2 linked regions of the Oryzias latipes genome follow. Each later gene encodes a partner of the first gene's protein in a complex. Links are inferred from orthologs where the notes say so. Each region holds a gene or a part of one and is shown on either strand. Other genes may lie near its edges.

Region 1 (3,813 bases):
ACGAGCGGTCGGGATAGGCTCCCGCAGCCCCGTGACCCCGAAAGGGAATAAACAGATTTAGAAGATGAATGAACCATTAAAATGTGAATTAGATTTTCCCTCAACTCAGAAATGTTAAAAAAAAACTTTGGTGCGACGGATAAAAAAAGAAGAAGAAAACACTCACTAAAACTGGCATTTTCTAAATAAAATAATAAACAAAAATCCACCTTGACATGCATATTTAAATAAAACTTCCCTCAGAATCAAATTCTATGTGTTTTTGTCTCTCTTTGTACTAACTGTCCCACGAACCAGTACCGGCCCGCATTCGCTGGGAACCACTGATCTAGAATGATCGGGATGTTGGAAAAACGTGCAGTGCTTCTCTGGGTCACTCTGATACGGGATGCCTAGAGAAACACGAGGAAACTCTAAAAAAAACAGTTTTTAGATAAAACATAAAAAAATGAATTTTACATGAAGCTTTGTCGCAAATTATTATTTATGTTAAAAAAGAAAAAAAGCTGCACTGTTTTACAAACCAGACTCATGACTGCTCCTCCACAACCTCCTCCTCCTCCTCCTCCTGTTGGAGGCAGATAAAGACAAAACAGGAAAGGGCCGAGAATAGAGCCCTGAGGTTCTGTGTCTAATGTGAACACCTTCTTCAGGATTAAGTCTTCATTCTCGGTTCATGTTTATTTTTTTTACAGATTCTCTTTTTTGTTGTTGTTTTTGCAGACTCTGATGATGACATCACGGCTCACAGAAAGCCTCGCCGTGTCGCCATCAGAGACAGTGACAGCGAGGAGGAGGAAGCGGCAGAAAACGGCTTCCCTGTGGCAGAAGCTCAGCAGCTATCCAGCGGCGAGGAGGAGCAGAGCAGCAGGAAAGGAGCGCAGAGGAGAGTTGCCCACCGGCTCACCGACAGCGAGGACGGCGAGTCGGATGGAAGGGAGGAGTCGCAGCAGGCAGAGGCGAAGAACAGAGAGAAGAGCCGGAGGCGGCGTGAGAAACAGGAGAGGCGAAGTAACGCGGTGGAGAAGCTGAAGAGGAGGAGGTTTGGCGATGAAAATGAGGTAAGTTCTGCTTGCTCAAACGGATCGGAACAGAGAGATGGTGAGGTAAAAACCCGTCTTGTCTCGTTAGGGTGGTGCTTTGCCGCGATCGCTGAACGACAGCGGGTGTCCGTTGGGCGACACGGACCTGTTCGACACAGGGCTAAACGACGAAGAAGAGGAGGAGGAGGAATCTTTGGACGCCATCCGAGCTGCAGTCAAGCAGAAGATGAAAAAGCAGGAGGTTAAGATAAATATCCGAGTCAGCCGTCTGCTGGGGCTCCACGATGAAGCCTTGCTCAAAGGTTCTGTTTCTTTAGGAACGCCTTCTAAGTGAGGGGGATGACGATGACGAGGCAGCGGAGAAGCCCCACCGCGCGGTAGGCGGAGCCAGAGTCTCCCCCCAAGCCAGGGAAGTGTCAGTCATGTGATCAACTTGTTGTTCTCCTGTCCACAGGAGAGGAAGGCGGCGAGGGCGAGCCGAGAGGCCATGAAGCAGCTGCACAGCGAGTCGCAGCGCCTGATCCGAGGTGAGCGCTCCTCCGCCCATCTGCGGCGCCCCCACCCGCTCCACCTGAGCTAACATCCCCTCCTGCCCCCACAGAGTCCTCTTTGGGTCTGCCATACCACATCCCAGAGCCCAAAAGCATCCACGACTTCTACAGGAGAAAAGCCCGCCCCCAGGGTCCCGCAATGGCACTGCTCAAGTAAGACCCTCCCCACGACAAACGTAGTTTGTTCTGTTTGGGAGTTTGACTCTGAGATATAGGCGTTTAAGTCGTTGAGCAGAAGAATTGCAGTGCAAAAAAGGCAGGAAGTTGGTTTGCTTTTTCAAAATAAAAGCCCCTTCATGTAAAGGCACTAGGAAGTCGCGCTGAGTTTCTCTCCAACCCTGGAGTTGAACCTGCGAACAAATCAAAGATCTTTGCTCTGAAAACAATATTTCATCTTTCTCCCATCAGATCTTCAAAATACTCTCAGATGATGTTGGAGACGCCGCCCGACGCTCCTCCCGTGAAGGAGTCCAGCCAACCAACTACAGAGCAGGAAACCCCTGCTTCCCTGGAGCCCTCAACCAATCAGATTGAGTCTTTGCCTGTGCCCTCAGCGACCTCGTCCCCGCAGCAAGAGAGAGAGAGAGCCCACGGAGAGAGTCTCTGTGGGCCAGACGGAGCTTCTGGAGGTTCTGATCCGGAGCTGGAATCGGGCCCGATGCTTTATCTGTCGGAGAGTCTGCAGGAGTCAGACGCAACGGAGAAACCTGTTTCTGACTGCGAGCGGGGAAGCCTGGCCCCGCCTCCAGAGGAAACCAGAACTGCTGCAGAGTCGGGCTCTGAGGTCCAGCAGCAAGAGGAGGCGGAGCCTCCTGCTCCTCTGCTCGTCAAAACCAGGAAGCTGAAAAGACTGAAGGAGCTGGGCCTGGACCCCCCGCCTGTGGCAAAGCTGTGCGCGGACGAGGGCGCTTTCGTTCAGCTGGAGCCCCCCCAACTCAACCCAGGTGAGTTTGATTCCGCTGCATCTTTGACCTGCCCCTCCGTTTTGCTCATGGCCGCCAACCCCCCACAGGCGTAGCGGCCCTGAAAGAACGCTACCTTCGTCACATTCAACCCCCGGCGCACCCCCCCGGAGAGCGCACGCTCCAGCTCAACATCGTGCGCAAAGACAGCGCCCCCTCAGGGCAGGAGGAACTGCGGTCCGAGACGCTCACGATCACTGTCAAAGATGGCGCCGAAGAGCCGGTCCCCGCCAAACCAGGTGAGGAAGAGCAGCAGGCGTGGGCGGAGCTACAGGGTAGTAGTGGGGGTGTGGTTAACTGGCGCGTCTCTGAAGGAGAGAAGCTGCTGAGTCTAAAGCAGCGCCTGCAGCTCGCCATGGCACAGCGGCGCAGGGAGGAGCGGGCCCGCAGGGCTGAGCTGCACCGCCTGGACAACGAAGACTGTGAGGAGGAGGAAGAGGAGGAGGACATGACAGATGAGTCGGAGGAAGAGGAGGTGAGAACTTTAAGGGTTTTATCTGAAAGATTTAAAAAAACAAAAACCACCAGACTCAGCGAAAGGAAAACCATTTAGGTTTCCCTGATGGATTTGAGCCTCAGTGCTTCCCCCTGCTGGTGTAATCCAGAAAAATCATAAATCATGGAAACCTTCAGAGGGTCTTCAGATGGTTCTTAAAAATTCCAAAACAATTGTGTTTCAGGGGTTGGATGACTTGTTGGGCGGCGCTGAAGAAGAAGGCGAGGTGGCGCCTGTGTCCGACCTTGTCCACGCCGACGGCACCCTCATGCTGTTTCCCGGCAGCTCGTGCTCTCGTACCGGGTTCGTTCCCCCGCAAAAAAACTGTTTAAAAAAAAAAACTTTTTAAGACTTTAACGCGTTACGTTCTTCTTCAGCGACGGCGTCAGGAGAGCGCCGCCACCTGGGCCCGACAGCAGCAACAAGACTGGTGAGTGCTTGCTGGTCTTGCCACTTCCTGTTGACGAGCATGTTGGGTTGAAAAGGGCGCCATCTGTCTGTGCCCCGCCCACAGAGGAGGAGGACTCCCTGTCCCTGGTGAAGGACATGAGCCACAACAGCAGCTTCGAGCTGGCAGGATCCATGCTCACCTCCTACCAGCCCGTCAACAACCAGCGCGCCACCGGGAGAGCGGCATTCGGCTCCGCCGCCTTCCGGTCGCCATCGCCATGCTTCTTCAGGCCCAACTTCCTTGGCTCGGCCTCGAAGGTAGACAACTTCAGAAAAGTTTATGAATTTTCATTTTTAAGTTATTTTAAGTG
Region 2 (4,262 bases), on another chromosome or scaffold:
TTGAATTTAAAAAAAGAAGAAAATTAAAAATGAAATGCCTGCTTAAAGCCACAAAAGATATATTTTACCTGTGCAAAGTAGACAAAAGAAAACAGCAAGACTTCTCCAGTGGACAGAAGCTTCCATGCTGAACCAGTTAAAAGTAACAGTTTGAAATTTGGGTTGTGTAAATGAAGCTTTTTTTAAGGAGTTATGTAAAAAAAATTCTTTGAACAAAGATCACTCTTTTATTTATTCAGTTTCAAAAGACTGATGCAACGTGAGACTTTTCCCCAACTGCAGTATTTGTCCTTCTTCATGGTCTGATTTAGATCAAGACTAAAGTTCATCTAAAAGAAGGTGAAAGGATTTCAAACAGTTGTATGAAAGTATTAATAAGTTCATGCTTGGAACTTAATGTTGTCCCCTTCTATGAGGAAAATGCAGCTCTACGTGCTGAGGAAACAGCTTTCAAATTTGTATTATTTGCAAATAACAATCCATGTTAATTTTAAACGTGTCAATCCTTCTGTTAAACAACATACAGAAAATACAATTTTGGGGAATTTAGATGGAATTCAGCTTGTGTGAATTGTGCTACATTTGGTAAGTTTCTGCTCATAGCAATTTTACCTTAACATGCTCAGCAGTGAGATGTGGTGAGTGCTGGTGAGGCACTGATGTCATCAGTCAGTTTAACAAATATATTCATATCAATTCAGATTAATTTTAGTTATACAGCACATTTCATGTAAAGAAAACAGCTCAAGGTGCTGTTAATCAAATCAAATAAGGATGCAAAAACACCAATGCAAAAATTAATAAATAAGCCCCTATGCCACAGATTAACTTATTTATACCATTTAATTGGTAACACTTGAAGTGGGTTGTTTAAGATTTCATTTCAACATTTTTGTCAATGTAGGATAGAAAAAAAATCACCAAAGTTTTTATTATTGACTTACTTTCGCTTTAATACAGTTACACATGAAAAAGAACTTTGATAAGTCCATGAAAATGCTTTTAATAACATTATAATTTAGGCGACATTGCACCAGCAAGCAGCACTGGCTGTGGCTCGTAACTGATTTGATGCTAGCACATGCAGATTGTTGAATTCACTCGCACAGCAAATAAAATGAAACAACAATATCACAACGGGTCATCAATTTAAATAGAGCATCTTTGCGACCGTTTGATTGACAGCAAATTAAAAGGAGAAATACTCAGACATGCAAAAATGAACTGATTTTTATTACAACTGTTCTCTTTCATAAGAAAAATGCCAGAAAGACATGTCAAAAACTTTCCTCGGAGGGATACTTATGAGTGGAATGTAATATGTCCTCCAATTCCGGAATGACCCGCGTGGTGGCGGTAATGCACAAAAAAGTGTTTTCCAACAACAGAAGAAGAAGAAACGGAAGTTGTCACTGGGAAAGTTCTTAGCGCCAAATTCGTGAAGCTTTGCTGGTTCTGAACCGAACTGGCTCGATGGATATCTGTGAAAAGGAACAAGAGGAGACAGCAGCCGTGTAGATTGGACTTTTCAGTCTGACCAAACCAGGCTCTCTGAGCCGAGCAGCAGCTGTTGTCCACTTTCAGGACTGGTTCTGTTCTGACCGGCTCTCTCTCTCTGTTCTCCATCCTCATCATCATCATGGCGGTGCCTTTCGTGCAGGACTGGGACGTGGTCCAGACGCTGGGAGAAGGAGCTTATGGAGAGTAGGAACCCTTTTTCTTTTTGGACCCTTCAGAAAGTCTTTTCATGGCGTAGCAGGACCACACGTGTTCATTAGAACCCACACACAACATCTGCACACACATCTGCTGAAGACTAGTAGAGGAGTTAGTGAGCGGGTTTCAGTTTTGGAAGATTTTGACACTTATCCCTTGTGCTATCAAAGGCACGTTAACGCTGGGAGTGGGGTCATCTGGACCCCACAAGTCAAGACAGTGCGCTGAACCTTTTTTTTTCAATGATTTGTGATCTTCACTGGTGTCCATGGATTCCATGAAATCTTTCCACCTTTATCCACCTTTGTCATGGTAGGGAGAACACGTCAATGTAAGGGTGGGGTCATCTGGACCCCATAGCACAAGGGTTATTGATGGATCAAAGCCAAATCTAACTAACAGAAAACTTTCATTGTTGTAAATTAGACATAAAAGTAAAAATCATTGTAAATGTTTTGCCATTAAAATGATTACAAGCATAACATATGATATGCTTAGATTAAAGCGGTCCGAATCTGTTTTTAAATATTTTAGAATAGGACCATGTGGAAAACCCATCAGAAAAAGTTATGTAGAAAGAGTTTTAGTGAGGATTTATCACACGGGAAGAGAGGCAGGAGAAGAACAGCTGTATATGTATTCAGATAAATTATAAAGATGAAAGTGTAATGCAACAAAAAGGATAAGAATCTGACATGAAATTATTATTTACAAAAAAATGTTTTTTTGCAAACACATTTTTAACCAAACTGATTTGTTTTGAATAGAAATTTAATAAATGAAGAGGGAGCAATGCAATTGAGAATTGATTTTATCCTTATTTTTGGTTTGTTTTTGTTCCTACGCTGATCTGGTGTTCAGAGTGAGGCTGCTGGTGAACAGGCAGACGGAGGAGGCGGTGGCGGTAAAGGTGATCGACACGTCACAAGCAGAGGAGTGTGCAGAAAATGTCAAGAAAGAGATCTGCATCCATAAGGTATCCCAGCCACGTCTAAAACAGCTGGTCCCAACCAGGCACTTCTGACACAAATCATCTCTCATTTTTGTTGTTTAAGCAATTTGTTTACAGATTAAAAAAGGAATCTATTGAATAATTTTTGCATTTTTAAAAACCTGAATAAGTACCCATTCTTACTGGTTAATTAAAAAGCTTTGAACTCCCTCTCCGATTGTCTTTTGATCTATTTTCAAAAAATGTCCCTGGTGGTCTTTCAATTACGATTATTCCATTATTAGCCAAAATGAAAAAGAAATGTGTCGTTTTCTAAGACATACAGTTAGGACCATAAATATTTGGACAGAGACACATTTTTTCTAATTTAGTTTCTGTACATTACTACAATTTGAAATAAATCAACTCAGATGCCATTGAAGTGCAGACTTTCAGCTTTTATTTCATGGGTTGAACAAAAAGATTGCATAGAAATGTGAAAAACTAAAACATTTTTTAAACACAATCCCTTCATTTCATGGGCTCGTAAGTAATTGGACAATTGACTTCCATGCTATTGCATGGGCAGGTGTGGGCAATTCCCTTGTTATGTCATTATGAGTGAAGCAGATAAAAGGCCTGGGGTTGATTAGAGGACTCGTGCTTGCATTTTGAAGATTTTGCTGTGAACAGACATGTGGTCAAAGGAGCTCACCATGCAGGTGAAAGGAGCCATCATTACGCTGAGGAAACTGTAGCAGTTCATTAAAAATATACCTCTGAGTTGTGGGCGGAACCGTTGACACGGAACAACCCTGTCCTCACTTCCTGACACCCAGCTTTTTACATGTTATTCCACTAGCTTACAGCCCCTCACATCCTCACCCTAACATTATCGGTGCAACACAAATGGCGAGCAACATTGGACCCATGCAGCCGTACAGTTTCTAGCCAGATACCACCTCGGACGAGGAAGACGAAGACCTACATGGATATATTCATCTACAGTCAGGACCATAAATATTTGGACAGAGACACATTCTTTCTGTACATTACCACAGTGAATTTTAAATAAAACAACTCAGATGCCATTAAAGTGCAGACTTTCAGCTTTTATACCATGGTTTGAACTAAAAGATTTCATAGAATTATGAAAAACTAAAGCATTTTTTAAACACAATCCCTTCATTTCATGGGCTCTTAAGTAATTGGACAAATACAAAGGGAGACATTGTATTTTCTACATTGCAGATACGTTCTTTTTCAAACGGTCTTTTTTTGTGATTCGCAACCATTTGAAAATAAAAATACTCAAAAATACCATTGCAAGCTCAATTTTCTTCATATAGTTTTTTCCATCATGAGAACATGTTGAGAAAACCAGAAACACAATTTTCGTCAGAGTGGGTCTTTGAAATTGTCTGTTCATCTGAAATATTATTTTTTTTGTAGATTCTCAACCACTGCAACATTGTAAGGTTTTTCGGTCATCGGAGAGAAGGAACAACCGTCTATCTCTTCCTAGAATACTGCACTGGAGGGGAGCTGTTTGACCGCATTGGTAAGATGCTCACTTTAAATTCAGCGGAGTCTTTACTTGTTTTGTCTCTAAGGA

Evidence for each region.
Region 2: the proteins of clspn (region 1) and chek1 are in contact, whole or in part, in a crystal structure (PDB 7AKO), measured with the Homo sapiens proteins. The link is inferred for Oryzias latipes from reciprocal best matches to the Homo sapiens genes CLSPN and CHEK1. Residues at the interface, in NP_071394.2 of Homo sapiens: Glu938, Leu940, Leu941, Leu943, Cys944, Ser945, Gly946; in NP_001107593.1 of Homo sapiens: Lys53, Lys54, Cys57, Met61, Arg129, Thr153, Val154, Phe155, Arg156, Tyr157, Asn158, Arg160, Glu161, Arg162.

The regions. Positions count from the first base shown.
Region 1 is NC_019869.2:20,039,218-20,043,030, reverse strand, and holds part of clspn (claspin), read left to right. Parts: intron 1-723; coding exon 724-1,061; intron 1,062-1,131; coding exon 1,132-1,284; intron 1,285-1,360; coding exon 1,361-1,420; intron 1,421-1,497; coding exon 1,498-1,570; intron 1,571-1,644; coding exon 1,645-1,747; intron 1,748-2,002; coding exon 2,003-2,538; intron 2,539-2,606; coding exon 2,607-2,795; intron 2,796-2,870; coding exon 2,871-3,031; intron 3,032-3,236; coding exon 3,237-3,355; intron 3,356-3,429; coding exon 3,430-3,482; intron 3,483-3,566; coding exon 3,567-3,760; intron 3,761-3,813.
Region 2 is NC_019872.2:13,136,692-13,140,953, reverse strand, and holds the start of chek1 (serine/threonine-protein kinase Chk1), read left to right. Parts: upstream 1-1,383; 5' UTR 1,384-1,639; coding exon 1,640-1,704; intron 1,705-2,577; coding exon 2,578-2,692; intron 2,693-4,099; coding exon 4,100-4,208; intron 4,209-4,262. UniProt on the Homo sapiens protein: Serine/threonine-protein kinase which is required for checkpoint-mediated cell cycle arrest and activation of DNA repair in response to the presence of DNA damage or unreplicated DNA.